Elephas maximus indicus: one gene and its partners. The protein of the gene in region 2 interacts with the protein of the main gene of each other region in a biochemical or structural test. Links are inferred from orthologs where the notes say so. Each region holds a gene or a part of one and is shown on either strand. Other genes may lie near its edges.

Region 1 (7,113 bases), on a different chromosome or scaffold from region 2:
GTGCAAAGAGCTGGAGGTGGAAAACCAAAAGGGAAGAACACGGTTGGCATTTCTCAAGCTGAAAGGACTGAAGAAAAAATTCAAGCCTCCAGTTGCTATAGTGAAGGATTCCATGGGGAAAATATTAAACGATGCAGGAAGCATCAAAAGAAGATGGAAGGAATACACGGAGTCATTATACCAAAAAGAATTAGTCGATATTCAACCATTTCAAGAGGTGGCATATGATCAGGAACCGATGGTACTGAAGGAAGGAGTCCAAGCTGCTCTGAAGGCGTTGGCGAAAAACAAGGCTCCAGGAATTGATGGAATATCAATTGAGATGTTTCAACAAACAGATGCAGCACTGGAGGTGCTCACTCACCTATGCCAAGAAATATGGAAGACAGTTTCCTGGCCAACTGACTGGAAGAGATCCATATTTATGCCTATTCCCAAGAAAGGTGATCCAACCGAATGTGGAAATTATAGAACAATATCATTAATATCACATGCAAGCAAAAGCTTGCTGAAGATCATTAAAAACAGCTGCAGCAGTGTATCGACAGGGAACTGCCAGAAATTCAGGCCGGTTTCAGAAGAGGATGTGGAACCAGGGATATCATTGCTGATATCAGATGGATCCTGGCTGAAAGCAGAGAATACCAGAAGGATGTTTACCTGTGTTTTTTTGACTATGCAAAGGCATTGAACTGTGTGGATCATAAAAAACTATGGCTAACATTGAGAAGAATGGGAAATCCAGAACACTTAATCGTGCTCATGAGGAACCTTTACATAAATCAAGAGGCATTTGTTCAGACAGAACAAGGTGATACTGATTGGTTTAAAGTCAGGAAAGGTGTTCGTCAGGGTGTATTCTTTCACCATGCCTATTCAATCTGTATGCTGAGCAAATAATCTGAGAAGCTGGACTATATGAAGAACGGGGCATCAGAATTGGAGGAAGATTCATAAACAACCTGCGTTATGCAGATGACACAGCCTTGCTTGCTGAAAGTGAAGAGAATTTGAAGCACTTACTAATGAAGATCAAAAACCACAGCCTTCAGTATGGATTGCGCCTCAACATAAAGAAAACAAAAATCTTCACAACTGGACCAATGAGCAACATCACGATAAACGGAGAAAAGACTGAATTTGTCAAGGATTTCACTTTACTTGGATCCACAATCAACAGCCATGGAAGCAGCAGTCAAGTATCAAAAGACACAGTGCGTTGGGCTAATCTGCTGCAAAGGACCTCTTCAAAATGTTGAAGAGCAAAGATGTCACCTTGAAGACTAAGGTGCACCTGACCCAAGCTATGGTATTTTCAATAGCACCATATGCATGTGAAAGCTGGACATGAATAAGGACGACCGAAGAAGAACTGACCAACGCCTTTGAATTGTGGTGTTGGCGAAGAATATTGAATATACCATGGACTGCCAAAAGAAGAAGTACAGCCAGAATGTTCCTTAGAGGCAAGGATGGCGAAACTGTGTCTTACATAACTTTGGACATGTCGTCAGGAGGGATCAGTCCCCGGAGAAGGACATCATGCTTGGCAGAATTCAGGGTCAGCGGAAAAGAGGAAGACCCTCAGTGAGGTGGACTGACACAGTGGCTGCAACAATGAGCTGAAGCATAACAACGATTTTAAGGATGGCTCAGGACCCCGCAGTGTTTCGTTCTGTTGTGCATAGGGTTGCTATGAGTCGGAACCAACTCGATGGCCCCTAACAACAACAATATATATTTATTTTATATTTAAACCTTTTAACTTTTTATTGAAGTATAATATACATTGAGCAAAGTGTACATAAATCTAACCTCAAAGAATTTTCATAAACTGAACACACTCATGTAACTGGCACCTAAAATCTAGGTTCTACATCAAGAAACAGAATATTACTAGCACCCCAGAAGCCTTATCATGTCCCCTTCTACTCACTACATCCCCCCACAAGAGTAACCACTGTCTTAATTTCTCACAGCATAGATTAATTTATTTTACACTTTATGTTAATGGACTTATCAGTACGTTCTCTTCTGTGTCTGCCTTTTTTCATACAATATTATTGTAGATTGTTCAATCTCATTGACTTTAGTGTTCTATTGTGTAAATGAAGCACAATTTATCCATTTCTTCTGTTAATGGGCTATATATAATTTGAGGCTATCATAAGTCACACTGTTATAGACATTCTAGCATATACATACATAGGCCCACATATCTATGAGAGGAATTGCTGGTTCATAGGGGCTACATATGTTCAACTTTAGCCCTACAATTTTCACCTGTTCACCACCACAGAACTGTTTAAAGAAGTGTTGTTTCCTTACTTGTATAATTTTTATTTTTCATAGAATAGTAATTGCCTTATTTTTTTCAGTTCTATGTCCAGTTTTTCAGACATATTTCATTAGATCTATCAAACACCTATTAATACAGTCTCCCAAATACTCAAAATTAGATCATCTATAAATTTAAATATTTTTCTAAAGCCTTTCCTCTTGAAGCCTTCCATCCTCCTGTCCCATTGAAAATGGGTTTCTCCCCACTCTGACACATGCCCTGGGGTTTCACTTCTCCATTCTCCTGATCCTGGTTTTCTGGAACCCATGTTTTGTTTTTTTCTTTTCTGGCTTACACCCATGTTTTGTTGGGGTACATACTTTAGTAGCTTTCTAAAACAAGGCTAATGGAAAGCAAATATTTGTACCCCTGTATATGTGCAAATGTTTATTTCACCCTTATACTTGTTAGATAGTTCAGCTGACTATAAAATTCAAGGTTGGAAGCCAATTTCCTTCATAATTTTGAAGAAATTTCACTCCATTGTTTTTTTTAGCTCACAATATTATTTAAAAAAAAAAACTCAGTGCCATCGAGTCGATTCCGACTCATAGCAACCCTATATAATTATTTAAAAAAATATATTATTACTCTTGATAAATCCAAGCCATGCTCCTTCCCATGCCTTTATTCTTGTTTCTTTCCTCTAAAAACTTTGAGTCTTCTCTTTATTCTTAATGTTTTGATCTTCTTAAGAATGTGCTTTAATGTAGGTTTTTCAGTTCACTGTGGACACCAGGTGAGTCATTTCAATATGGAGACCCTTGTCCTTCAGTCCTGGCAAAATTTCTTCAATTATTATTGTGATCATTCCCTCCCTGCTGATTTTTTTGTTCTCTTTTTCTGGAACTCTTAGTTTGTGAGATGGATGGATGGCTCAATGAGAAAGTTTTCTGAGTACTTTTAGGAGCAAAAAGTTCAACAACAAACAATAAAGCACAGCACAGCAGATCATATCTTCAAAGCTAAGCAATTTGTTTTAAATCATCAAAATTTTAAACATAACATTTCTTTACAATTTCCCGCTGTGCACAAATACAGGAAGGACTGGTTCTCTGTACGCAGAAGTCCTTTATTCAAGTCAGGCATTTCTTTTTACTGCATTACAATTCACTAAATTCCTAGTATGGACTTGGAGTTGTATATAATATTTGCACTCACGATATAATCACTTAAGTAGAAAAGTGGGACTTTTGGTTTTGTCTTTGTTTTTAAGTGGAAAAATGGAAAGATGTTTGCAGTCTTTTTCGGTTGGCATTAGACACTGCTTGCAATCCTCTTTTATCTATAAAAAAGAAATCTTTGCACTCTTATCTGGAGTTAGATGGATTTTCTCAGGTTCATTTTCAATCCCGATATATTATTATGGACATTGGAAAAGAGGAGGAAGAAAACCAGATTCCTAGTAGGCGGGCGTGTGCCCAGAGCAAAACACAGCCGAGGGTATTCCGCTCTGAGGAGATTTATCACCTTTCCCTCACTCGTCAAGTGGCTGCAAGTGAAGGAAGACTGGAGTCCAGGTTCGCAGTGGCATAGGGGTTAAGTGCTACGGCTGCTAACCAAAATGCTGGCAGTTCGAATCCACCAGGCGCTCCTTGCTATGGGGCAGCTCTACCCTGTCCTATAGGGTCACTAAGGGTCAGAATCTACTCGTCGGCCACGGGTTTGCCTGCCGTGGAACACGGCGCGCTCCGCGAAGCGCTCCTCGCGCAGGCGCAGAGTAGGGAGCCGGGATCACGCCCCTACCTCTGGAGTTTGGCTACTCTCCCGACTGCACGCGGCCGAGACAGAGAATCCACCCGAGTGGGGGCTCCCGCTGACCAATCACACACCCGCCAGCCGGCTGCGTTGAGGAACTTTCCCAAAAGGAAGACTTTTCCATATTCGGAGAGGGGTGAAGACAAAAGGAGTGCCACTGGCTGCCTCGCCCCCGCGCCCTAGCCCCGCCAGAATCGGACAGACAGTGGGGGCCGCAGGCTGAGACGAGCGCCTTCCCCGGAGGACGCAGGCGGACGCCCCCCTCTGCTAGCCCGCTGACGTCGCCTGAGAAGTTTGGAGAGGGAGGAGCTCGGCGCCGGGGTTCGCCGGCGGGGCGCGCCTGGGAGGGCCCAGTCTAGGAGAGGAAGCTCCTCCTCGCCGCGGCGCTGAAGACTTGACCCCACTTTCCAGAAAAGTGTGCTGAGGCCGGGGAAAAGCAGCCGGCAGCGCGGGGTCCGACGGCGGCGGGCGTGGGCCGCCTGGGAATGGGCGGCCTTGTGACCTAGTATTTGGGAGCAGGAACACCTCCCGTCCGCCTGGCGCCGGAGCGGACCCAAGCGCGCGCGTGCCGGGGAGCCGCGGGAGCAGAGAGCGCACCCGGAACGGGCCTTCGGCCTGAGTGCCCGCGCCGCCAGCGACCATGAACGGGGAGGCCATCTGCAGCGCCCTGCCCACCATTCCCTACCAGAAGCTCGCCGACCTGCGCTACCTGAGCCGCGGCGCCTCGGGCACCGTGTCGTCGGCCCGCCACTCGGACTGGCGTGTTCAGGTGGCCGTGAAGCATCTGCACATTCACACTCCGCTGCTCGACAGGTAGGGCGCCTAACTCGGCGGCACCCCCTCCCACGATATCCGCCCCGGGTAGGCGGACTGTAGAGCTCAAACGGCAGTGACCGCCTGGGGTCGGCCCTCCCCGTCGTCATTTCTGGGCTAGTCCTTCAAAGCTTGGGGCTGGCAGGGTGGGAGGAACCAGCCTCTCGAGGTGCACACTCGGAATCGTCCGCTCATCTCCTCTTCACTGCCTTCTCTCTGCGTCCCGCCGTTCCTCCTCTGACTTTCCTAGGCTGGTACCATATACCAGAGACCTGCCATCACAGCCCATCTCGAAATGCCCGATGTATTGAAATTGAGTTCTTTATGTAGTGGGTTTGTTTTTGTTTGCTTTTTTTTTTTTTTCTCGTTTTTTTGAAAGTGGGCTCTAGGGCTGTGCTGTCCAATAGGTAGGCAGTTGTTAGCCATAGGCAGCTGTTGAGCGACTGGTCAGTCGAACGGAAATGTGCTTTGTCAGTGTAAGATACACACCGGATTTCGAAGATTTAGTACAAAGAAACGAATTTAAACTAACTCATCAGTATTTTTATATCGATTGCGTCTTCAAATAATAATGCGGATATATTTGGTTAAATAAAAGATGTTACCAAAATTCATTTCATCTGGGGTTTTCTGTGTGTGTGTTGTTTTATTAGAGTTTTTTGTTGTTTTTTACTTTTTTTAATGTGACTTAGAAAATTTGAAATTACATTTGGGGCTGGCATAATTGGACAGCGCTGCTCTAGAGTTTTGAGATGTCTTGTTTTGGGGTTCTTGTAGTTTCTGTTTTGTTTGTGGTTCTTGTTTTCATGAAACTTTATCAACCTCAAAATTTGCAGTTAGTTTCTCCTCCTACTATTATGAGGAAGACTGTCTCTAGGAAAAAAGTGTGTATTTTTTTTTGTGGGAGCGATAAACTGTATCCAAAGAGTGTTAAGTGGCCAAAAAGTGTTTAGAGCCGTTCATCCTGGCATGATTGTAGTGTGATGTTCAGGTTTTAAGGAGCCCTGGTGATGCAGTGGTTAAGCACTTTGCTGATAACTGAAAGGTCAGTGATTTGAACCCACCACCAGCTCTGTGGGAGAAAGATGTGGCACGCTGTTTCCCTGAAGATTTACAGCCTTGGAAATCCAATGGGGCAGTTATATATATATTATAATTCATAGGGCCACTGTGAGTCTGAATCAACTCCATCGCAGTGGATTTGTTTGGACATTTGGTGGTGGTTTTGTTTTAGCATTAGTTTCTCTTTCCGAAGAGAAAAGCCTTACTGTAAACCCTTACGGTAAACGTGTGTGTATGCAGTAGTCAGTGGTCTAGTCACTAGTTCGGTATTCTATCTTTCCCAAAGGAATTTAACAAGGGCCTGCATTCAGTTCTCAGTGACCTAACATTCATGATTACAACATTATCTTATCTAATGTGAGAATACATCACGCTCGATGCCTGACTGGCCAGAGGCTGTTAGTATCCAGTATCGGATACATTCCTCAACTTTCAGCCCAGCCAACGTTATCATACTTCCACCTGCCTGTGGCTTTCTTTGCTGTCTCTCACTACCAGCGTTGGGTGGACTAGATCTCACAGCAGATTTCAGACACTTCTGGAGATTGTTCCCACCTTTTTATATACTATAGTCCACATCCAGTGATGTGCAGGGTGTGGTGTCTGTTTACACTAGGTCTTGAATTCTGTGGGGCAAGTGCTGGGCAAGTGTGTGTAGTCAACTCTAGAGGGTGGTGGCTGGTCAGAGAGGGTGGATATATTCTAGAACTAACTAGGTAGATGGTATATGGAAATCTAGCACTGATGGACCCATTAAATATTTTAAAGCAAATTGATCCTTCTTCTGTTTCGGATGCTGCTTCTCAAGATTTTAGTTTACCTGAAATTTTGTGCTGTTTGAGGGGCCAAGGAGTTAAGAAAGAGCTCCCTTTCCATGCTCATACAATTTTCGTAGTCCAAAAATTTTTACCAAGTTAGGTAGAAAATTAATTGTCTTCTAAGAAGCCATAAAGAACCTTGGTAGTGCGGTGGTTAAGGGCTTGACTACTAACTGAGAGGTGGTTGTTTCAAACCCACCTAGCAGCTTTGCAGAAGAAAGACCTGGCAATGTGCGTCCATAAAGATTACAGCCAAGAAAACTCTACGAGACAGTTCTGCTCTGTCACACGGGGTCACTATAAGTCAGAATCCACTCGAGG
Region 2 (7,437 bases):
CTGTCTTGAGCCAATGTCTTGAGATATGAAAGAAGGAAGTGAGCAGAGAGACGTGGGGACCTCATACCACCAAGAAAGTAGTGCCAGGGAAAGAGCATGTCCTTTGCACCAGGGGTCCCTGTGCTAAGAAGCATCTAGTTCAGGGGAAAATTGATGATAAGGACCTTCCTCCAGAGCCAACAGAGAGAGAATGTCTTCTCCTGGAGCTGACGCCCTGAATTTGGACTTCTAGCCTACTAGATTGTGAGAGAATACATTTCCCTTTGTTGTAGCCATGTACTCATGGTATTTCCGTTAACAGCAGCCATAGATAACTAAGACAGTTTGTTTAGTCCACAGAAAAACATTTAGAAACAATACAACATTCACAAACACTCAGATGATGGTCTTTAAATACCGTTTCTCACTAAAAGAACCAAGCCACCTTGGACAAATGGCTAATAATAGATAAAACCCCCAAAAACCAAACCCAGTACCTTCGAGCTGATTCTGACTCATGGTGATCCTATGGGACAGAGTAGAACTGCCCCGTACAGTTTCCAAAGAGCGCCTGGCAGATTCAAACTGCCGACCCTTTGGTTAGCAGCCATAGCACTTAACCACTATGCCACTAATTACAGATATGGGGTAAGAAATGTTCAATATGAGCCTAAAAAGCAATCAAAGACTACTAAGGGCTGTGTCAAAAGGACTCAGGAACCAACCTGAATAAGCTCCCACCGGCCTGAGATAAAACAATCTGAGCATCAATAAGGATAATATCTGCGATGGATAACAACTCACCAGATATGTTTAAATCCCTGTATTTACTATAATAGCTGTTCGCTTTTGGGTTTCTATCCAGCAAACTTTTCTTAATAGTATAAGGTCATGATATGATTTTATTTGCAATTAGAATAACCATTAATTCAGCATTATGTAACTAGTTAACCCTTCTCTTAAAACCAAACCCACTGCCGTCAAGTCGATTCGGACTCATAGCGACCCTATAGGACAGAGGAGAACTGCTCCATTTTTCTTACTACTATGTAATTCATATATCAAATTCCCATATATATATATACATATATTTTTTTTCTGGGCTCTCAATCTTGCTCCTTTGTCTATCTGTCCATCCTTGTGCTAATATGGAGCCCTGGTGGCACAGTGGTTAAGAGCTCAGGTATTAACCAAAAGGTTGGCAGTTTGAATCCACCAGCTGCTCCTTGGAAACCTTATGGGGCAGCTCTCCTCTGTCCTACAGGGTTGCTATGAGTTGGAATTGACTCGCGAAAGCAATGGGTTTTGTGCTAATGTCTGAATTACTACGGCTTTACTTTGTAACTCTTGGTATCTGGGAGCACAAATCCCTTGAATCTTATTTTTCTTCTTCAAAATTATCTTGGATTGTGTAAATATTTTAATTTTTCTACATAAATGTGAAATATGTTAAAATGGCAACCTCTTCAATATACAACTTATTTTTTTTTTTCCAAATTGCCAGCAACTATAAACTGGAAATATGAAAAAAAATTAACTGAATAAATGGGTAAACACATGTAACACTAGACTACAAGCTATACAAGATTAGAAGTTATAAAGTACTATCTATTTTTTATTATACCTGCATGACATTTTATACTTATTTGGGGAAAAATATTTAAGGCATTTGAGTTTCTGAGATTCAAGTTTTCCAATACATTGAAGGATATCATCACGTTACTTTTTTGGTCAGGACAAGAACTGAAACAGAAATAAACTTGCATTCAGGATGAATAATTCTTGCTACATATACTTTCTAGATTACATATATTCCCACATGTATTAGGAATGTTTCTGTAATTGAGAAATAGAAATTTCAACTAAATACAAAATTAATACCAAAACGCATGTGTATTTTTGGAAGTTTTGAGTCATTGGGAGCAATGGCATTTTTCTCTGTATCACAAATCGTTAAGAATACTTTTTTTTACTATTAACATTGGAACAGAAGACCTCCTGTTCTGAGACTGACTGGCAGGCAGAAATGACATGGACAGGAAATGGGAAATGGTTCAGGGTCCTGGAATTCCCCTGGCTGCCTAAATCAAGTGGCTTGTTATTTGGAAGTTTTTGAAATATTTGCCCCCTGGAGTTCCCCTGAGAGAAGAAAGCATCTAATTTCATTGACAAAGAGTATCTTCAGAATACATAAAAATTGGTTTCGCTGCAATACAACAAACATTTACTTTGTGCCACTGTGTTTGAGGTACCACTAGAGAGGGGTGAGACAAAAGGTCCCTGCCTAGCAAAACCAAGAATTTTTTAGAAAAAAAATTTTTTTTTTTTTTATGCTTTAGATGAAGGTTTACACAGCAAATTAGTTTCTCGTTGAACAATTAATACACATATTGTTTTGTGATGTTGGTTGCCAACCCTGCGACGTGTCAACGCTCTCCCCTTCTCGACCTCGGGTTCCCCATTTCCATTCACCCAGCTTTCCTATCCCTTCCTGTCTTCTAGGCCTTGCACCTGGGCTAGTGTGTCCATTTAGTCTCAGGTACACGGCTGAGCTACCTGTATTGTTTTATGGGCCTGTCTAGTCTTTGACTGACGGATGAACCCCAGGAGTGACTTCAGTACTGAGTTAAAAGGGTGTCCGGGGGTCATACTCTTGGACTTTCTCCAGTCTTTGCCAGACCAGTAAGTCTGGTCTTTTTTTTTCAAGTTAGAATTTTGTTCTACATTTTTCTCCAGCTTTGTCCAGGATTCCCTATTGTGATCCCTGTCAGAGCAGTTAGTGGTGGTAGCCGGGCACCATCTAGTTGTGTTAGATTCAGGCTGGTCGAAGCTGTGGTAGTTGTGATCCATTAGTCTTTTGGACTAATCTTTCCCTTATGTCTTTGATTTCCGTCATTCTCCCTTGCTCCAGACAGGGTGGGTCCTGTGGTGTGTCTTAGATGGCCACTCACAAGCTTTTAAGACCCTAGATGCTACTTGGTGAGGTCTTTTGATGAGTATAAATGTTAATTTTTAGAAGATCCCAGTTACCTAGCTTATCTTCTGGTATTTGTGAAAACCAAGATTTTTTAATTTACAATTTTATTTCTATCACTTAACTACTGAAATTTGGATAAATGGACTCCTCTGTGGTTCTCATAAGTATATATCATTTGTTAAATATATATATGTTGTTAGTTGCTGTTGAGTTGACTGCAACTCATGACGATCCCATGTGTGTAGAGTAGAACTGCTCTATATGGTTTTCATGGCTGTGACCTTTCAGAAGCAGATTGCCAGGCCTGTCTTCCAAGGCGACTCTGGGTATGTTCAAATCGCCAGCTTTTCAGCTAAGAGTTGAGTCCTTAACTGTTTGCAACACCCAGGGACTCCCCTCATCCCCATATATATATTTATACAAACATATATATATACACATACAAATATACATATATAATATGTATATACAGACAGAAACACAGACAGACGTACCATGGGTAGCACAAATTACTAACCAAAACTACCCCATTGTGGTAGAGTGGATTCTGACTCATAGCAACACTATAGGACAGAACAGAACTGCCCTATAGAGTTTCCAAAGCTGTAATCTTCACGGAAGCAGACGGCCCCATCTTTCTCCCACTGAGTGGGTTCAAACCGCTGACCTTTCTGTTAGCAGCCCAGCGCTTAACCTCTGTGGCACCAGGGCTCCTTGAAAACCCTATGGAGTGCAGTTCTACTCTGCACACATGGGGTTGCCCTGAGTTGGAATGGCAACTGGTTTGGTTTTATATAAGATATAATACACATATCCTGTTGCAGAGTGGCATAGATTCCAACTCAGGGCAACTAGATGTGTTCCAGAGTAGAGCCGCTCCATATGGTTTTCTTGGCTGTAATCTTTATAGAAGCTGATCACCAGGCCTCTCTTCTGCTGCACTGCTGGGTGGGTTCCAGAAGCTAACCTTTATGTTAGTAATCAAGCGCAGTTTATGCCACCCAGGGACTAAACACACACACACACACACACTCTATTTTATTTAAAATTCCAGAAACTATTGCAAGTGAAGACTGGCCTGAAATAACGGTTCACACTGCTCACAATGAGCCTCTGAAATAGGAACACTTTTTCGTTAGTCCATCTGTCTCCAGAACAAAAGAACCCAAAAGCTTAAAAACAGTCAAAATTTAAAAAGAAGATACACTGGCTGATTAATCACAATTAATCTTCTGATGCTGTACTACTTTCCAATACTTCAAAGTTTCACATTTTTTCAATTTAGGCGGCTAGCTGCTGACTGTTGTAACCCGTAAAGATCAGAGCGCCACGCAGTTTTACTCTGAAGAAAAGCGGTTACAAGTGTTTACTTAACAGAAGCAAAAATGCCACTGGATTGAGTCCATCCCCAAATGCCGTCATCTAGGCCGGCAGAAGGCGTCACACTAGTGGAATTTTGCCAGGGGCGGGATCAGAGCTCAGAGGTGACATGGGGGACGAAGCGCAAAACCACTAACACAAGGGCGTTTCCGCAGGGTTTCCCAAGATTCAAACGCAACGGCTCTAGGTTTGCCACGTCCCGCTCAGTAAAATGTCAGGGACGAAAAGACGGCGAAGCGTTAAAAGAGCGCAAACGTCCAGATTAAAAAGCGAAACACCGAGCTGAAGTGGACGGTGCCGCCTCACCCGTGAGCTGACAGCGCAGCGCCAGGTGGGCGCCCACACCCGGCCTCCCCGCGTCCCTCCCGAACACACGTCCCGTGGTAGCGAACCCGCGCTCCTCCTCTCCGCCCTCGGGCGCCGGTTGACGCGGGCCCCCGGCCAAGCGCGCTGACGTCACCGTGCGTCGGCGTCGGCTCTGCTTCGGCAGGGTCTTCGGAACCAGGACCGGTACCCCACTCGGCTTCAGCCCCTGTCGCGGCGGCCGCTCGGCGGGCGTGAGGAGGCCGCTCGGAGCCGGTCTGCTGCCGCGCTACTTCCGTCTTTGCTGCGCCCGCACTGCGGTGAGTGCGGCTACTTCCCGGCCGGGGCCGCGCGAGAGCGCGCGAGGCGGGTTGGGGCGCTGGAGCTGCGGCGGCCCAGTTCCCGAACGCTGCGGTCGGACGAGGGAGGACAGCGGCTGGGGCCCCTCGACCGAGCGTCCAGGGCCGCAGCGAGCTTTCTGCTGCGCGCCCTCGCCGCGGCTTTCATTTAATTCGGAAACTCCGCTTTCAAGACTTGGAAGTCGAAAGTGATTTTTGAAAATTGGCTTGTTTTCATGCATACTCTAGCCGCCGCCCACTTTCCCGGCCTTTGGACTTTGACCAAAATTTTTCCTCTTAGAGTTTTTGCAAGATTTTAAACTTGGCCCTCGATGTACCTTTAATTTGATATATTTGAAGGGAGGCGACCCTGTGGCGGCGAGATCTCATATTTCACGTAGTTCCAACGGCGCCCTGCCGCTCTCAGTGGCTTGTTGTGTATTGTGAAAATTAACTCCGGGAACTGAATGGGCAAATCTCATAGTTTCAACTTTTCCCTTCCAGTCCCTATCCCACCCTCCGCAACCGCCCACAGCTACGGTTTGCATAAAAAGAGCAAAATTAGCTTGTAGATAAAAATCTAGATATATGAGACCTCGTGTTGTTAAAGCATGCGTGCAAGCGGTCACGTTCCCAAGGCCTGTGTTTCTCAGGCCCTTGTTTTGTTTTGTTTTCGAGTTGCGTTGTGTGGTGGTTGCTTTGGAATTGTGAGGGAATTGTAGCGTTTAAGTTGAAGGGTTTATTGTATTATTACTAGGCACTTTGCCTAGTCCTGGAGCGGCTTGACGTTAAAAAAATAACGTTTGTGTCATAATTACCGCTGTACTGTTGCTCATGAGGAATAGTGAGGTCTTCTTTTCTTACCACTACCCCCTTTTGCCTCAAGCAAACTGCCAGATATTATCCTTAAACTATTAAAAGTTGTCACCAGAAGAGGTGAGGAGACCCAAAGACAAAATGTTTTCCTATATGGAAAGGTCCCTTGTACACTTTTGTAACGTGTAATTAATGTTAATGGGAGTATATTGCTTTTATTTCAATTAAGAGCTTTTGTAATCAGAAAGCTTTGGTGACATTGCTGGAAATAAGATGTATTGTGTAAAGTGTAAATCCTTTTTAGACTTTGTGGGATAAATGGAAGCATCTGTGATTCTCTTTGCCACAAAAATAAAATTTTCTAAAATTTTGTTTTTTCTTTTCAGATTTACAGCCTTGAAGAGTCTACTTTTTTTTTTTTCACCTGCAGTATTAAATCCCACCATGGAAACCCAGAAACTTTATAAAGGGATATAGTTTGAATTCTGTGGAGTTTAATTTTGTGTATGAATTATATATTTAAAATACCAACTGTTCACAGAAAGAAGGCTAGTAGGATTACTGATCCATTATGCATCAGCAGTAATTCTGTTGGTAATGTTAGGCATTTGTGATAACACTAGAAAAGACAAACTGTATTTTTTGATGAATTACTTCATCATTAATTACAAAATGGATGCTATAATCATGTATGGCCCTTAAATGAATGCCAGGCTATTTAATTTTTAAATGCGATGTAAAATGTTTCTCCTGTGGAAATTTTCTGGCTAAGTAGTTAAGTCTATGGAAAAATACATTAGATTGATCAAGTGCACAAAGTGGTGTGCAAAGTTAGTAAGGAGGACAACACAGTAATGATGCTATTTGAAATGGAAACATGTATAGAAAATATTTAACAAAGGTGGAAGAGTTAATAGTTTGTGACCTTTAAGCAAAATTTATTTCGTTTGAAATCATATACGCCCTAACAAGCTTAGGTTCAACACAGCTTGTGGATGTTGACTTCCCCAAAAGTTGTTATTGAAGCTAACAATCTGCTTAAGTTAATACTATGATGAGAAGCTATATGAAATTAGTTTTTAGATAATGTGGCTATATGAAGACTTTAATTAGTTTACTAGAATAAAACAATTTTTTTTTATGCCGTATTAAAGTGCTTATAGGAAAAGACGCCTGATGCATATAATTTTGTAATTTGTCGTTTGTAATCAGAAGCAAATTAAGGGCATAATTTAAGTATTCTATTTTTTTTTTTTTTTATGGTTACTTAGCTTACAATGTTTGGAATATAACCTATCTGAAAAATCAAGGTTTTTTTTAAACATAACTTTCAGAAGTGTATCAACTTCTTTCAGACTGTTAGGTTAGTATTACACTAAATTATGAGCAAATAGCACCTGAGTGACCTAAAAGATTTAATATAGTCCCAAAGAGTACTAAGTGGTATCTTGGTAACCTAGGAGAAGTAGCCATCAGGTAACCTAGGCATGAAGTAGGATGCCTGAGTGTGTACCCAGGTGTAAATCCAGTAAAGAAGGTGTAGTGAATTCTAGATAGTTAGGAGGTTATCATTTGATTCCTTTTTGTGGTGAAAATATAATTTAGTATGAAGAGATGAGAAGTTTCATGTCAAAGCTTTTAGCC
Region 3 (6,883 bases), on a different chromosome or scaffold from region 2:
CAGAATCCTCTCAGACATGGGCAAGCACAAACATCGTCATAGCATCATATATTTATATAATCCTTTGTGAATTAAAAAACTACCAAACTGTTTTCCTCTGGTTCAGTTTCGACTATTATACACCACTGCATCGCCACTTCTGCATGGGTGACTGAGGGATGTTGGCCTTATCTGTACAGTGTGAATGATATGACGCTTGAGCGAGGAAACAAAGGGAAAAAAGTGAAATTTTAAAGTTTTAGGAAACAAAAGCTCTCATAACTACATAAAAAGCAAGAACAGGCTTAAGGAGAAAAAAAAAAATTACTTTTAGTGAATAGGAGTGGGATCCTGCCCCCTTCAACTTTCTATTCTCCTATGTTTTCTACAATAAGCATATATTTGTAATGGAAAAAAAAAAAAAAGGCACAACAGGGTGGGGGTGGATAAGAAGGGCCGGGGGAATGGCTGAATTGTGCAGAGCCTTGTATGCAGTTGGTACTCAATAAATGCTCACTGGCGCAAAAGCTGAGCCTGTAGCTTGATTCAGGGACTGCCCCAAACAAATGTGCAAAGGGTAGGTGGGAACCTGTGCCCAGGGCTACCCACAGGTGTAAGAGTTGGGGATGTTGGAGGGCAACAGCTGGGCCTGTTTGCAGATTTGGCTCCGGGATGGTGCCAGCCCCGCCCCAGCACAAAAATGCCCACTGGGCCATAAGCACTGTGGGGCAGGGACTCTTTACCTGCTTCTGTGCCTAGCATCTCACGGATGCTCACTAACTCACCAGCTGTTGAATGAATGGAATGCTCAGGGCCCCTGAGGCTGCCCCTGATGGTTGTGGCAGGGTGCTTGTGCCTATGTGTGTATGTGTGTGTCATTTTTCCTCCTCCCAGTCCCTAACAGTTCCTCTGGGCCTGGAGCCCTCAGCCTCTGCTGTCTCTGTACCCCTGCACCTGCTAAGTGCTCGTCAGTCAGCTAAATGGAGACCACTTGCCCAAGCCTCAAGCTGGTACTCTGACAGACACGTCATTTCATTGGAGGGTAGGAGGCAAGCAAGGCTGATCCACCCCAGCCCACACGCACCCCTCCCACTCATTCACAGGCCCATAGGTCCCTATTACTTCCCCAGGCTTCATTCAACCTCTATTAGCATTTCCAAGGCATCCCAGCTTGAACTGCTGGGCTCATCATCCCACCACTCACTAGCTGATCCTGTCTGGGGAAGGCTGTCACATCTCTGTGCCTCAATTTCCCCATCTGTAAAAGGGGAAGGTTGTTGAGAGGGTTAAATGGATTAATTTGGGTAAAGGGCTTGGCACAGAGCCCTGCACACAAAACATTCTCAAAACAATGGTGGCTGCTATTGTTATTATTATTAGCATCTTGGTGATTCCGGAAGGAAGGCAGCACTGGGCATGGGGCCAAGGGGGCTGGGGGAGGCTTTTCCCGGGATGCCTCAGGGACCAGCTGCCACCCACGCCCCTAATGGCAGTTGGGCAGCTTCCACCTCCTTGTCCCAGACCCTGTCTCACCCCTCCTGCTTGCTCTGAGCCCCTCGCCAGACCCCAGCCTTCCTGGCCAGCCCCCGTCTGCCTGCACCCCACCTTCACCCACAGGCTGCGCCAGTCAAACTGGTCTACACGCCCTGCCCTGCAGCACATAGGTTCAAGCTCCAGGCCTCCACTCCCTTCTCCCACTGTAATTCAGACACCCTCTCTGGGCCCCCAGTCTGAACTGATCCTTCCACCTCTTGTTGCTCAGAGAGGCCTTTATCAGATTATCTCCCTGAGAGGTTTTCTCTCCCCTGGCACTGGGGGTCTCCCCCCAGCTCCCAGAGGCCCAGCCCACTCAGTTCTTCCACAGGGGCCTGCCTGATTAATGAGGTTCTATGGCAACCAGGGCCTGAGAGGGTGGAGGGTGGCAGATGGAAGGACAGGCAGAGGGAGGGGATCAGCAGCTGGCCTAGGCGTCTTGCCCCACCCCTGCAGAGAAGGCCTCCCAGCCAGGCGGCCTGTCCCCAGGGGCCTGGAGGGCCAGGCCTGCACCTGGCAGTGGAGCATGGAGGCAGGAAGGATGGTGTCCTCAATGGCGTCCCAACAGTCCAGCCCCAAGGACCACCTCCACCTCCATCCCCACCCCTACATAGCCACAGATTCTGGTCTGGAGCCAGCAGGCCTCGGTTCAAACTCCAGCCCCACCTATGACCAGAGGCAAGTCCCTTCCCCTCTCTGGGCCTCAGTTCCTTCTCCGTCAGATGGACACAGTGACAACACCGAGCTCACACCGTGGTTGTGAGTTTTGGCTGGCTTGAAGTCGGTCAAGGGCTCAGCCAAAGCGCTAGTTGAAACCACGTGGGCCATTATTATCACTGATTCTGACCCGGTGGCTGACCCGAGCGGCTATGGTGAGGAAGCGGAGGCCCAGAGCCTAAAGCAGCATACAAGGACTGGCCCGAGGTCACCCAGCAGCCCGGGGCGGGGCCCGGAGGCCCAACCCAGGCTCTGCACCGCCCAGCGCGGGCGCCTCAGTCCACCCCTCCCCCGGCCCCCGCTGCCTCCTGGCCAAACACTGCGCCCCGCCCGGGTCTGCGCGGGGGGTACAGGCAGGGCGCTTGGCCGGGTGTCCCTGGGGTCCGTACCGGCGGGCGGCCGAGCGAGGGGCGCGGGGCGCTGGGTGTGGGCCGGGGCGCCTGTGGCGTGGCGAAGAGCAGCAGGTCGGCATCGCGGGGGCCGGCGGCGGGAGCGGAGGGGCCGGCGGGGGCCGGCGGGGCGCTGGCGTCCTGCGCCGTGGAGATGATGACGATCTGCGAGGAGTCAAGCAGCCGCAGCGCGCCCGCCCCGAGCAGGGCCTCCAGCGCCGGCGCGCATGGGCCGCCCGCGGGGGCCCCGGCCACGGCCATGGCGTTCACGGCCCGCGCGGCCCGGGTGGCAGGCGGCGGCGGCGGCGCGGACCCATGGCGGCGGGCCGCGGCGAGGGCTCGATCCCGCTCCGGATCCCGCTCCGCCCCCGGCCGCCGCTGCCTGCAAAGTCCCGGCCACTTTTACGCGCCAAATCCTTTTTGCCGCGAAAGAGCCACGAGCCGCAGAACATCGCCACCATTGGCTACCTGGGCTGTGACGGAGGCGGTGACGGTGGCACCCATTGGCTGCTGTGCGCCGGACCGGCGGTGGGGGGCGGGACGAGGAGGCGGTGCGGTGCGGAACAGCCAATCGCAGTACGGGGCGCGCGCAGGCTTTGTCGGGGCGGTGCCAGGCTTGTTCACACTCCCCGCCCCCAGGCCAGACAGCCCCTGGTCGAGGCGTGGTGGCCCCGCCCCCACCCCGTCCCGACACACCCCATCCTGGTGACCCCACCATAATGAAGACATTTAGGGCAGAGTCTCCATTCTAAAGCCGTCACGTGCTGAACCACATCGTCCGCCTGCAGCCCCCACATGACCTCCAGACCCTCAGCCCAGATTTCCAGAAACTGTCTTCTGTTTTCTGAATCCTCAGGCCTACCTTCTAAGCCCCAGCTACATCTCCTCAACTTGCCCCACCTATGCCATTTACTCTCAAATCCTGCCCCTCCCCTGTCCCTTACCCAGCCAGACGCCCAGCAGAAGGGGGCTGCCAGGAAATGGGAAGGGATGTCTGGCCTAATATAGGTCTGGGGCTTTCCTGGGGCTTCTCCGGTGGCCTCGTCTTAGCTGGACAGCCCTGCAGTAGCCAACTCACAGCTTTTGCTTGGACTCAAAAAACCCAGTGCCGTCGGGTCGATTCCGACCCATAACGACAGGCTCAAACATTCATTTATTCAACAGATGTTTTGAGAGCCTGCTCTGTGTCCATCTTTAGTTCAGACTTTGACTCCGGGAGGAGGGGAACAGAGAGATAACAAGAGTTTACAATACAATATGGAGTTTCCAATACTAAAGTAATTCCACCGGTGTTACCTGCCATTGAATTGGGAAACTGCAGGGTCCTGTGCCAGCCCCATGTTCTATTGGGGATCAGACTGTTGTAATCCATAGGTTTTCATTGGCTGATTTTTGGAAGTAGATTCCTAGGCCTTTCTTCCTAGTCAGCCTTAGTCTGGAAGCTCTGCTGAAAACTGTTCAGTGTCATAGCAATACTCAAGCCTCCACTGACAGGAGGGTGGCTGCACACAAAGTGCATTGGCTGGGAATCCCATGTGGAAGGCAAAACTCCAACTTCTTAGACCTCAGCAAAGGATGGAAGTGGGAGTACTGAACATGAAACTGCGTTTAATCCTGAGACCCTGACCCATCTCCACCAACGGTTTCTCCTTGCTCAGATCAGCAGGTTTGACCAAGACCACCCTCTCCTCTGTGCCAGGTCTTGTGACAGTACTGAGGATAGAGATGTGAAAAACTTGATAATTGCTATGAACTTGCCTGCAGTCTGATGGGGGTCACCCACAAGAGAAAAAGTAGCTAGGAGCCCTGATGGTGCAGTGCTTAAGAGTTTGGCTGCTAACCAAAAGGTCAGCAGTTCGAATCCACCAGGAGCTCCTTGGAAACCCTGTGGGGCAGTTCTACTCTGTCCTGTAGGGTTGCTGTGACTTGGAATTGACTTGACAGCCAGGGTTCTCTTTTTGTTTGTTTTTAGGACACAAACAAGATCCCTCCACTTAGTCTAAAGTATCACTTCCTCCAGGGGGCCCTCCAGAGTTGAAGTTACTCACTTCCTGTATTGCCCTAGGCTGCCTCTGTTCCAGCACTGACCACACCACTCAGCTTCTCCATCTGCCTTCCCTACCACCCTGGGAGCTTCAACAGTGCCCCCTCCCCATAATGGCCTGGCCTAGAGCAGCTGCTGAGCTGAGGAGGGTTATGAAAGAAACAGGCTGATGTTGGAGACTGCCAGAATGCAACAAGTAGGTCCTGGTATTCCAAGAGTGGTCATTAGGCTTCAGAACCAGCTGGGGCTCTTGTTAGCTTTGGGCCCTACTGCAACCCAGCCATTTTAGAATCTCTAGGTGCCCATGAATCTATATTTTTAAACAAGCATCCACTCCCATGCCTTTCCAGGTAATTTTTATGCATGATGACATTGGAGAACAAATTGATGTAACTGTATAACTAAAATGTGTGAGGCGGCCTCAGATTATCCCCCTTTGAGAAATCTTCTGGGCCTCAGTGTCCTCGTCTGTAAAATGAGCACATAGACTTTGCCCCAGCTCTTCTGGGGTTGCTAAGAGAATGAAAAGCACAAAGGATCTGAAAGTGTTTTATAGATTGTGAGGTGCTTTGGGAAAACAGCAGAAGTGTCTTCCCTTCTCTCATGAACAATTTGTGAAATTACTTATCAAAAATCCTAGAATGTGTCAGAGCTGGAAGAGCCCACAGAGGTGGGACAACTGAGGCTTATTCAGGCGCAGGGTCCCATGAAGCCAGCCAGGGATAGAATCTGGCCTACACTGGAGTCCCAGCCCTGGGGTCTGCCTGTTCCCCCTTTCTCCCCGGACAGAGAAGCTGAGGGTTAGGTCTCTTCTAAATAACCATCGCAGGTCCTGACAGGAGTTGAGAGAGCCAGGAACATTCCCGTTCCACATAGTTTCCTTTCCCCACATTTTCCCAAATGATCCCGGTTACAGTAATAATATCTGACTTTTGTAAAGTCCTCTCATACTCAATATTCATTCAACAAACAAACTGACTGAGCACCTGTCAAGTGCCAAGCACCTTGCTGGCTGATGGAAAGGGAAGGCATTGCTGGTTTTGCCCCATTTTACTAGGAGAAAACCAAGGTCCAGAGGGAATAGGCTTACCTAGTAGATGAAAACGCCATTTATACAGGCTTGGTGAGGCCAAGGCCACGTTTTTCCCAAAGGCCTGCCCTCCTCCCAAAGGTCCTGCCCCTGTCCAGGTGTTCATCAACCACCCAGGTAGAAGTAGGTGCCTTCCTTCCCACTGCAGTCTCTCTTGTCCTGCTGCAGCAGCCCAGGGCTGGGAACAAAAGGCCAAGCAAAGGCCAGATTTCTCAGTGTGAAATCAAAGAGATAAGGCTTTCTATATTTATTAACACCCGCTTCAAAGCAGAAAAGTCCTGACAGATGGGGCCCCTTGGCTCAGAGTCTGGTGGATCCCGATAAGGCTGTTCCCAATGTCAGCAGTTCTCCTCAGGCTACTAACCTTCCAAGAAATCCATGATTACTGAGAAGACACTTCCATTATGATCTCCTTTCAACTCAATAATCCCATAAGTGAAGCTTGTTTATCCACATTGTGCAGAAGGAAGGTGGCTCAGAGAGGGGCAATCACAGTTCACAGTCACAGCAGAACTGAGATGGGAACCTAGCCTGTTTTACTGGAAAACCCAACATCTGCCCTTCATACTCTGCTACCCTCTGAAAATACTTGGAGAGCCAGGCTCAGGGCTGGCAAGATTATAATGTGTGCCAGTGAAGAGGCATTACGGTGGACAGTGTCTTTGTTAGGTCCCTGGGTGATGTGAACTGTTTGCACTCGACTACTAACCTAAAAGTTGGTGTTTCGAACCCACTCAGTAGTACTATGGGAGAAAGGCCTGGTGATCTGCTTCTATAAAGACCCTGTGGAGCAGTTCTACTCTGTAACACACGGGGTTGCCATGAGTGAGAATCGCCTTGAAGGCAACATGGTTTGGTGGTTTAGTTAGTGGATGCTTACCCCCATCACTGCGTCTACCAATCCTTCAATCTAGAGGAGTCCAAAGGAGTGGATGCTTTGGACTCATAATTCTCCACCTGGAGACAACTTTCCCTTGGTTCTTTCCTACACACAAGAGGCAGGATGGTATGGAGGTGAATGCAAGGGCTTCTAAATCAGGCGGATGTCAGTGGGAATCTTGGTCTGTGTGACCTTTTGACAAGAGAATTCTGAGCCTTGCTCATTCAACCCACAGATACTTATTGTATACC
Region 4 (7,785 bases), on a different chromosome or scaffold from region 2:
TCCAGCCAGTGTTTAAGTGCTCACTTTGTTCAAGGTACCTGAAGAGTAGTGAGCCTGCCCCTGGGAGCAGGGCAGATAAAGCATGGGTAAACATGATCCGGCTGAGGGCAGTGGTGGTGAAGGGCAGAATTCTCACTTTCCATGCAAGAGATTAGGGTTCAATTCCTGGTCAATGTACTTCATGTGCAGCCACTACCTGTCTGTCAGTGGAAACCTGCAGGCTGCTGTGATGCTGAACAGGTTTCAGCAGAGCTTCCAGACTAAAACAGACTAGGAAGAAAGGTCTGGCCATCTACTTCCAAAAATCAGCCCATGAAAACCCTATGGGTCACAACGGTCTGATCTGCAACGGATTATGGGAATGGTGCAAGGCTGGGCAGCGTTTCATTCCGTTGTGCATGGGGTCACCCTGAGTCAAGTGGCCAACTCGATGGCGGCCAGCAATAACAACAAACTTGATCCAATAGGGTGAGGACCTAAAGAAGGCTCAGGTAAGTGCAATGGGAGTTTAGAATAGGCAGAGATCATTTTTGGCAGCAGGAAGCAGAGCCGGCTTTGTGGAAGAGGTGGCATTACATTCATTCATATATTAGACATTTTTGAGGCCTGGCAGTGTGTCAAGATATTAAGTAAAGGGATGCAAAAATGAATTAGATAAGATCCTTGCCTATTCATGGCCTAGTGGTTTAGTTAGCACAAACACAAATATCTGTGATGCAACTGCTAACTGAAAGGCTGGAGGTTCAAGTCCACCCAGAGGTGCCTGAAAACAAAGTCCCGGTGATCTACTTTAGAAGACTCAGCTATTGAAAACCCTAAGGAGCACAGTTCTATGCCGATACACATGGGGTCACCATGAGTAGGAATCAACTCAATGGCAACTGGTATACTTTAGATATTACTGGAATGACTGGCTGTCTGGGGTTGTCAGGGAAGGCTTTAGAGCCAAGGTCTACCCTAGTCCTTGAAAGAGAGAAGTCTGGCAGACAGAGAATGGAACCACCGAATATACAGAGGCATAGAGGTGAAAGGACACAGCCCATTTAAGATAAGAGCAAGATCAGTGTTGGCGGAAGGTTCAGTTCATAGTGGGAAGGCAAGTGGGAGTTGAGAGATAGGATGTATGAGTGGGAGAGGTGTGCTAGGCTAGGGGAACAGTGTGAGCATGGTCACAGAGGTGAGAAATCACGGTACCTATATGCATAATCCTAAAGTAATTCAGTCTAGCTGCAGCTTTAAGTGTGTGATGGAAAGGAAAGGGGAATAAGGTTGGAAAGATAAGTTGGTGCCAGATCATGGGGGACCCAGAATGCCTGGCTAAAGGACTTTGAATTTTATTTTGAAGACCAAGGAGGAAGACACTGACGGTTTTTGAGCAGGGAGTGACTTAATCAGAGCTGAGATCAAGATTAAAACAGAAAATCATAAAGCAAGCCTCTAGAAATTGGATATTAATTTTGTGGGCATGGGGTTATACACCTTTTCTCTGATGCAGCAAAGGTTGGGAAATCCTGAATATAGAAGGGTACAGAGGCCAAGAGCAGATATAGGGACCACAGAACCTGGAGCAGGTGGGAGCTGAAGGATGATTTCACTGTTGCTAGTGGAACTCAGGGAGCCCTGGTGGTGCTGTGGTTAAAGAGCTTGGCTGCTAACCAAAAGGTCAGCAGTTTGAATCCACCAGTTGCTCCTTGGAAACCCTATGGGGCAGCTCTACCCTTTCCTATAGGGTAGCTGTGAGTTGGAATCAACTCAATGGCAATGGGTTTTGAGTTGGTAGGACTTCTAGGTAGCTGGAAATTTGGAAATAGGGGTGGGAATAGGGGTTGGAGGAGGTAGAGACTTGGGAGTCTTCTACATAGAGGGTGGTGGCAAGTACCACACATGGGCAGACATAGGGGCCAGAGGTGGCAAAGCGAGTCATCAGGGGTCTTGTAGTTGCAAGCGACAGAAACCTACTCACCCTGGCTTAACCAATAGAGAGAATTTATTGGCTCATGTGATTGAAAACTGGAGCAAGGCTGAGTCTAGGGACTCAAACAATGCCACTGGGACTTGGTTTCACTGTCTCCATCCATCAGCTCTGTTTTTCCCTTTTTGTCTTGGTCTTATGCTCAGACAGTCTCTCTCCTTGCAGTGGGATGGCTGCCAGCCGTGCCACGATTACATCCTGCCCTCAGCAGATATATTCATTCAACATGAAGGTTCTGATCAAAGTCCCAGAATTGAATCTTATTTGTTCTCATTAGGTCACAAGTCCATTGCTGAAGTGCTGTGGCAAGAGGACTCTCTATAAATTCTTTGATTTGCCAAACCTGGGTCACATGTCCATCCCTGCAACTGGAGGTAGAGCCACCTCCTCTGGAGTTACAGGAATCGAGAATTGGGTAAGAGACTTCTCAGGAGAAGTGAAGTGTTGTTACCAGAAGTAGGAGAAATTGACAGTGGGCTGGCAAACGGAGAGTGGGGGAGGGAGGGCTGGATATCCACGGGCTGCCTCTCCTGTTAATATGAAGCAGCTGTAGCCAGTGGGGCAGTGAGGAGGAGACACTAGCAGGCTGGGCCAGCAGCAAGGGATGGGGTAGACTGGGGTCAAGTTGTGATGCCACTGACATTTGGGGCTGTGAAAAGGTCTGGGAGGGCCTTCCTGATAAAAATCTGACAACATAATAGACAAAGTCCTTGTCCTCTGAATGAAGGCAAGAGAAGTTGAGCAGTTGGGTGACACCCCATCAAGATATTGCTGCTATGGAAAGGGCAGGCATTGTCTGGGGACATTCATGAGATTGTGAGACGGGATGAAGGAAATGTCATTGCAAACTGGCTTTGCAGAGGGAGAAAACACAACCACTTTTCAAGTTTCAGAAACTAAGCTTACGCATTTTTACAGTAGTCAAAAATTTACAAGTTTTCAAAAAAAATAAAATAGCCAAAAGCAGCCTAAGTCTTGAACAATAGGAGATTGGATAAATTCTATAATACCCATATAGTAGAACACCAAAAAAAAAAACCAAAAAACAAAAACCCAAACTCACTGCCGTTGAGTCGATTCCAAATCACAGGACCCTACAGGACAGAATAGAATTGCTCCATAGGGTTTCCAAGGAGCGGCTGGTAGATTTGAACTGTCGACCTCTTGGTTAGCAAAAATGTTGCTTTATTTGACATGGAAAGATGTTCATAATGTTTTGAGAGAGAAAAGCGGGTCACGATCTTATTTTGGTAAAAATAAATGTATATATAAACCAAACCAAACCAATAGCTCTTGAGTTGATTCCAACTCATTGCGACCGTATAGGACTGAGTAGAACTGCCCCATAGGGTTTCCAAGGATGTAATCTTTATAGGAGCAGGCTGCCACATCTTTCTCCAGCAGAGTGGCTGGTGGTTTCTAACCACTGACCTTTTGGTTAGCAGCTGAGTGCTTAACCATTGTTCCACCAGGGTTCCTTAAACATACATATACATAGAAAAAAGTCTGGAAAGGTACTCACCAAAATGTTAATAGCTGGTATCCATGAGGGTAGGATTAGACCTGAAGTTTATCTTCTGATTTCTGTATAATAAACCTACTGGGTTGTAAGATAGTGTAGTGGTCAAACTAGAGCCAGGCTCCTGGGTCCAAGAGCCTAGGTCCAAGCCCCTCCTCTGCCACTGCCTGGCTGGGTGACCTTTGGCAAGTTTCTTAACATCGCTGAGTTTCAGTTCACTCATCCATAAAATGGCGACAATAGTGCTTACTTCACAGGGTGATTCTTAGAAATTGTTTACTCCTACATGCAAAGTTGTTAGCACCACGCTTATAGTATACACTGAAAAATGTGGTTATTTTTTGTGGAATTAAAAAGTCCAAGAGAAAATATGATGATTAAATGAAATATATTGGAATTTTATCTTTGTTGGCGAAATAGCTGTGGCAGTAAGCAACATATTAACTATTACTAGGATAAACTATTTTTCTCTGAACATTGGGAAACATGTGAGAATAAGACAGAGAAGGTTCCTATTCTCCCGGAGCCTGAAAGCTAGCGGCGGCAACATAATAAACAGGTGCTCTGAGGGTTTTTTTTTTTTTTTTGAGGGTAGGAGAAACCCTGGTGGCGTAGTGGTTAAGTGCTACTGCTGCTAATCAAAGGATCAGCAGTTCGATTCCACCAGGCTGCTCTTTGGAAACTCTATGGGGCAGTTCTACTCTGTCCTATAGGGTCGCTATGAGTTGGAATCGACTCGACAGCGCTGGGTTTGGTTTTGGTTTTGGTGAGGGTAGGATGATAGGGAAGACCGGGACGTTAGAGGGCTGAGAAAGTCAACCAACAAGTGCAAAGCCCTACGGTGGGGAGGAAGTCTCTGAAACAAAAGAAGACCTTTGTGGCTGAAGCGAGGGACAGTGGGGTGCACGCAGCTCTCACACCACAGCGGACTGAATACAGACCTGGGGAGCCAGGAGGCCACCCACTTGCTGTGTGATCTCGGGTAAATCACTGCCAGTCTCTGAGAAGCCTCTGTCCTCTCTGCAAAATAGGAACGATAATACTTTGCTTCCCAGGGTAGCAAGGATCAAAAGAAATGTCATTGGTGTGTTCTGCAAACTATTCTTTCTAGTTTTTGAACAGCAAGCACTGGGGAAAGAGGTGCCGAGTTGAATACTAAACACGTGAGCCATTCCGGTCTTGCGCGTGCGCGTTGGTCCAGCGCAGCGGAGGCGGAGGAGGAATTTAGGCTCCGCCTCGAGCCGTCCCAGCCTCTTCCTCCCCTCTCCATCCCTCCCACTTCCGCGGGCACCCAGCCGTGCGTCTCCTGCGTGGTGACGTCAGGTGCGTGCCCCTGTCCGGCAGTCGAGGAGACCCCGCGCAGTGCTGCCAACGCCCCGGCGGAGAAGCTGAGGTGAGTGCGGGGCCTCAGGCTCCCCGAGGGAGCGACTCCCCCATCGTCTTGTCCCTACCGCGTCGCCCCCAGTCTTTCCCCATTCTCGGGGACCCGTGGTCTCCGGGATTCTGGGACGGCTGGGAGCGCGGAACGCGGGAGGGTGCCCGGCTCGCGCTGCGCCCTCCGGGCGAGCGCGGGTCCGCGTTCTGTAGGGGCACTAAGGGGCGGGAGTCGCGGCGGGGAAGGCAGGGTGCGCGCCCGCTGCGAGGCGCGGGGCCGGTGCTCCGGGTGTCGGCCCGAGGGCACGGGCGGGGCCGGGCTGTCACCGGGCAGCGGCGGAAGGAAGGGGTCACACCCATCCCGGCCGCCCGGGTCCCCCTCCCCCTCCGGCCGGGCCCCGTGGGCACCCAAGGGCGGGCGGCCGGGCTGGGGCGCCTGGGGCCCCGCTTCACGGAGCCGCGCGCGGGCGCTGGAGGCGGAGGACGTGTCGGTGGCCGGGGCTCGAAGGCTGGGTGCTGCCCACTGCGCTCGGCTTCGACTTCCTGCTTCGCCGGGCGCCGCCGCGGACATTTTGCGGCGGGCGGGGGGAGGGGAGCGGCCTCGCGACCGCGGCGGGGAAGTGGCGGGCGGGGAGGGGGCAGTTTGCGGAGTGGCCCGGCCGGGCCTGCGACGCCCTTCCCGCCGCGGCCGCCCAGCTCGCCGGCTTCTCGGGGCAGGGTGGGTCCGGTCGCCCTCTGGCCGGGGTCCTTTTTCCTGCCCTAGGTAGAGTTGCCCACAGCGTTGCCGTTTGCTCCTCCAGCACCTAACGCTCTCCTGGCTCATTCAGCTGCGGCTTCCCCTTCAGGGAGTTACCTAACCCCTCCCGAAACTGTCGCTCGGCCGTCGGCTTAATTCCTCTTACTAAGGGGAAATTTTCTTTGTTCGTTTGTTTTTTTCCTCCCCTTTAAATCCTAGAGAAATGCAGTGTGGAAGATTACGTCATCGCAGTCTAAGGGGTGAGAGTTTTAACTCCTCCAAGTCAGGGACTCAGCAGAGTAAGACAGCGTTTTTGCAGTTTCAGTGGGTCACCCAGAGACTTCCCTTGCTCCGCTCCCCAGCGCGTCATATTCGGAGGTGGTTTTTTTTTTTTTTTTGATATCCTGTTACTCTTGTTCTTGGCCACCTCAGTTGCATCTAAAGGAAGGTTTAAATGTCAAAATTAGGTTGTGACAGAAAATAAAGCGTAAGACAACACTTTCTGTAGCCATTTGCATAGAATATAACTTTAAAATTCCCCTCTGACTGTACTTGAACGAAGCCACCTTATTTGTGGGTGCATTTTTTTGGCCCCCAAATGACTTTCCGGGAGTGATTGACTTGTCCCATATACTTGTTTGATGCACGGTACCTACCTAGATTGCCTCAGTTGCTCTCTTTGTGGCAAGGGTGTGGTAGTGAGAGGATCAGTTTTGCTTCCTAGGCACTTTAGTTTTTTAATTCAAAACAGTTTTGAGCTTTTACCAAAAAAAGTAAATGAGTGATATTTTTAGGCTTTTGGGATCACTGTTTTTGTTCCCAAGAATGTGAGGTACAGTCTAAATTTTCCATCCTTGTACAGAGTACGGTAGCACAGAAAAATGTTAGCATTGTAAAGCAGATGAATTTCAGTTGTGTGAATGCATTGTTACAAAGGGTAGTTCATGTTGGTACAAGTACTTTTCTATTGTTTCTCATTTGTGTAGAGAGAACAGATTGTTTGTTAAGAAACACAAACTTTAAGAAGTGGTAGATTTAAATGCGCTTTCTCCAGTGTGGGTGTTGAAGATAGGTATGGCACATGAATCTTCTGAAATAGTTTTCTTTGCGTTAAAGTGGTATCTTGCTTTAGAAGTATAAAAATGAAACACTGGTCTGCTGCCTTATTTCTCGAGTCCTCTATTTTTAAGAAGTCTCTGTGTATCAGTTCACATCTTTCTTCTTAAAAATATAGCAGAATAGTTTAAATGAACAATTTTCAGACTGAGACAACAAAATAATTGAGGATTGAAAATAAGCTCTTCCAGTAATGTCTTTAAACATCCTCTGTCTACTCTTAAAATGGTTTCATGTAGTAGCCAACACTTGTGCTCAGTGAAACTTTTTTCTTTGGAATTTAAAGGTAAATACACAGCTTTGAGTAGTCGGGGCTTAAACATCAGTGAGATTCTTAAAGAATACCAAGACCAAATCTTGAAGTCTTTTTGTAACTTCAAGGTTTGTTCCTCTTTTTTAGGATGCTTTTCCATTTGCACTTTTGTGGACTATTTGGAAGAGCATTTCTTGTTAAACGGTTATGCTAATAAAATGTTTTGATTCAAGAGCTGTCAAATTTGGAAAACTACAATTGCTGTGCCTGTCTGATGAGTAATATTGATAGTCATTCTTGAAAGTAAAAGTCAAGTTGTACTTATGGATAGATTTCTAAATGCATTTGTTTATTGTTTTAGTGTCTTTTTTGAGAGCAATGAAGAGCCCCTAATGAGAACTGTAGGCTACAGGGCTTTTCGGGGAGCAGGGAGTAATAGTGTGTTAACTTATTTCCCATATATGAATCTGTATATCCTCCTATTTGTAAAGGGCTCCATTCTAGGCTTTTATTATAATTCCTTATTCAGTTTTCTTTTCTAAATGTGTTTGTTGTCAGTCTCTCCCACTAGCATGTAAGCTCTATGAGGGCAGAGCTTTGGCCTGGTATGGTCACTCCTATATCCTAGCATCTAGAATAGTGCCAGGCACAAAGTAAGTCTCAAGAAATATTTGTCAGGTGGATGAATTTGATGCTGTCTAAGGGTTGACATTTTTCCTCTATGCGTATTCCATAAGCCCTTGTACTTTGTTTCCCAAGGCATCTTTTTGTGCTTGATCAGCTGTATCCATATTTGGGCTCATTGAAGTGAAATT

The links.
Region 1: the proteins of BIRC2 (region 2) and RIPK2 form a complex in vitro, tested with the Homo sapiens proteins (4 studies listed by BioGRID, with this or other methods). The link is inferred for Elephas maximus indicus from reciprocal best matches to the Homo sapiens genes BIRC2 and RIPK2.
Region 3: the proteins of BIRC2 (region 2) and E2F1 form a complex in vitro, tested with the Homo sapiens proteins (2 studies listed by BioGRID, with this or other methods). The link is inferred for Elephas maximus indicus from reciprocal best matches to the Homo sapiens genes BIRC2 and E2F1.
Region 4: the proteins of BIRC2 (region 2) and CDC42 form a complex in vitro, tested with the Homo sapiens proteins (2 studies listed by BioGRID, with this or other methods). The link is inferred for Elephas maximus indicus from reciprocal best matches to the Homo sapiens genes BIRC2 and CDC42.

The regions. Positions count from the first base shown.
Region 1 is NC_064833.1:52,120,559-52,127,671, reverse strand, and holds the start of RIPK2 (receptor-interacting serine/threonine-protein kinase 2), read left to right. Parts: upstream 1-4,107; 5' UTR 4,108-4,739; coding exon 4,740-4,912; intron 4,913-7,113.
Region 2 is NC_064825.1:18,245,182-18,252,618, reverse strand, and holds the start of BIRC2 (baculoviral IAP repeat-containing protein 2), read left to right. Parts: upstream 1-4,435; 5' UTR 4,436-4,959; intron 4,960-6,179; 5' UTR 6,180-7,437. UniProt on the Homo sapiens protein: Multi-functional protein which regulates not only caspases and apoptosis, but also modulates inflammatory signaling and immunity, mitogenic kinase signaling, and cell proliferation, as well as cell invasion and metastasis.
Region 3 is NC_064843.1:35,860,179-35,867,061, reverse strand, and holds the start of E2F1 (transcription factor E2F1), read right to left. Parts: upstream 3,011-6,883; 5' UTR 2,880-3,010; coding exon 2,619-2,879; intron 1-2,618. UniProt on the Homo sapiens protein: Transcription activator that binds DNA cooperatively with DP proteins through the E2 recognition site, 5'-TTTC[CG]CGC-3' found in the promoter region of a number of genes whose products are involved in cell cycle regulation or in DNA replication.
Region 4 is NC_064821.1:62,283,951-62,291,735, forward strand, and holds the start of CDC42 (cell division control protein 42 homolog), read left to right. Parts: upstream 1-4,777; 5' UTR 4,778-4,884; intron 4,885-5,527; exon of another isoform or gene 5,528-5,861; intron 5,862-5,878; exon of another isoform or gene 5,879-5,979; intron 5,980-7,785. UniProt on the Homo sapiens protein: Plasma membrane-associated small GTPase which cycles between an active GTP-bound and an inactive GDP-bound state. In active state binds to a variety of effector proteins to regulate cellular responses. Involved in epithelial cell polarization processes.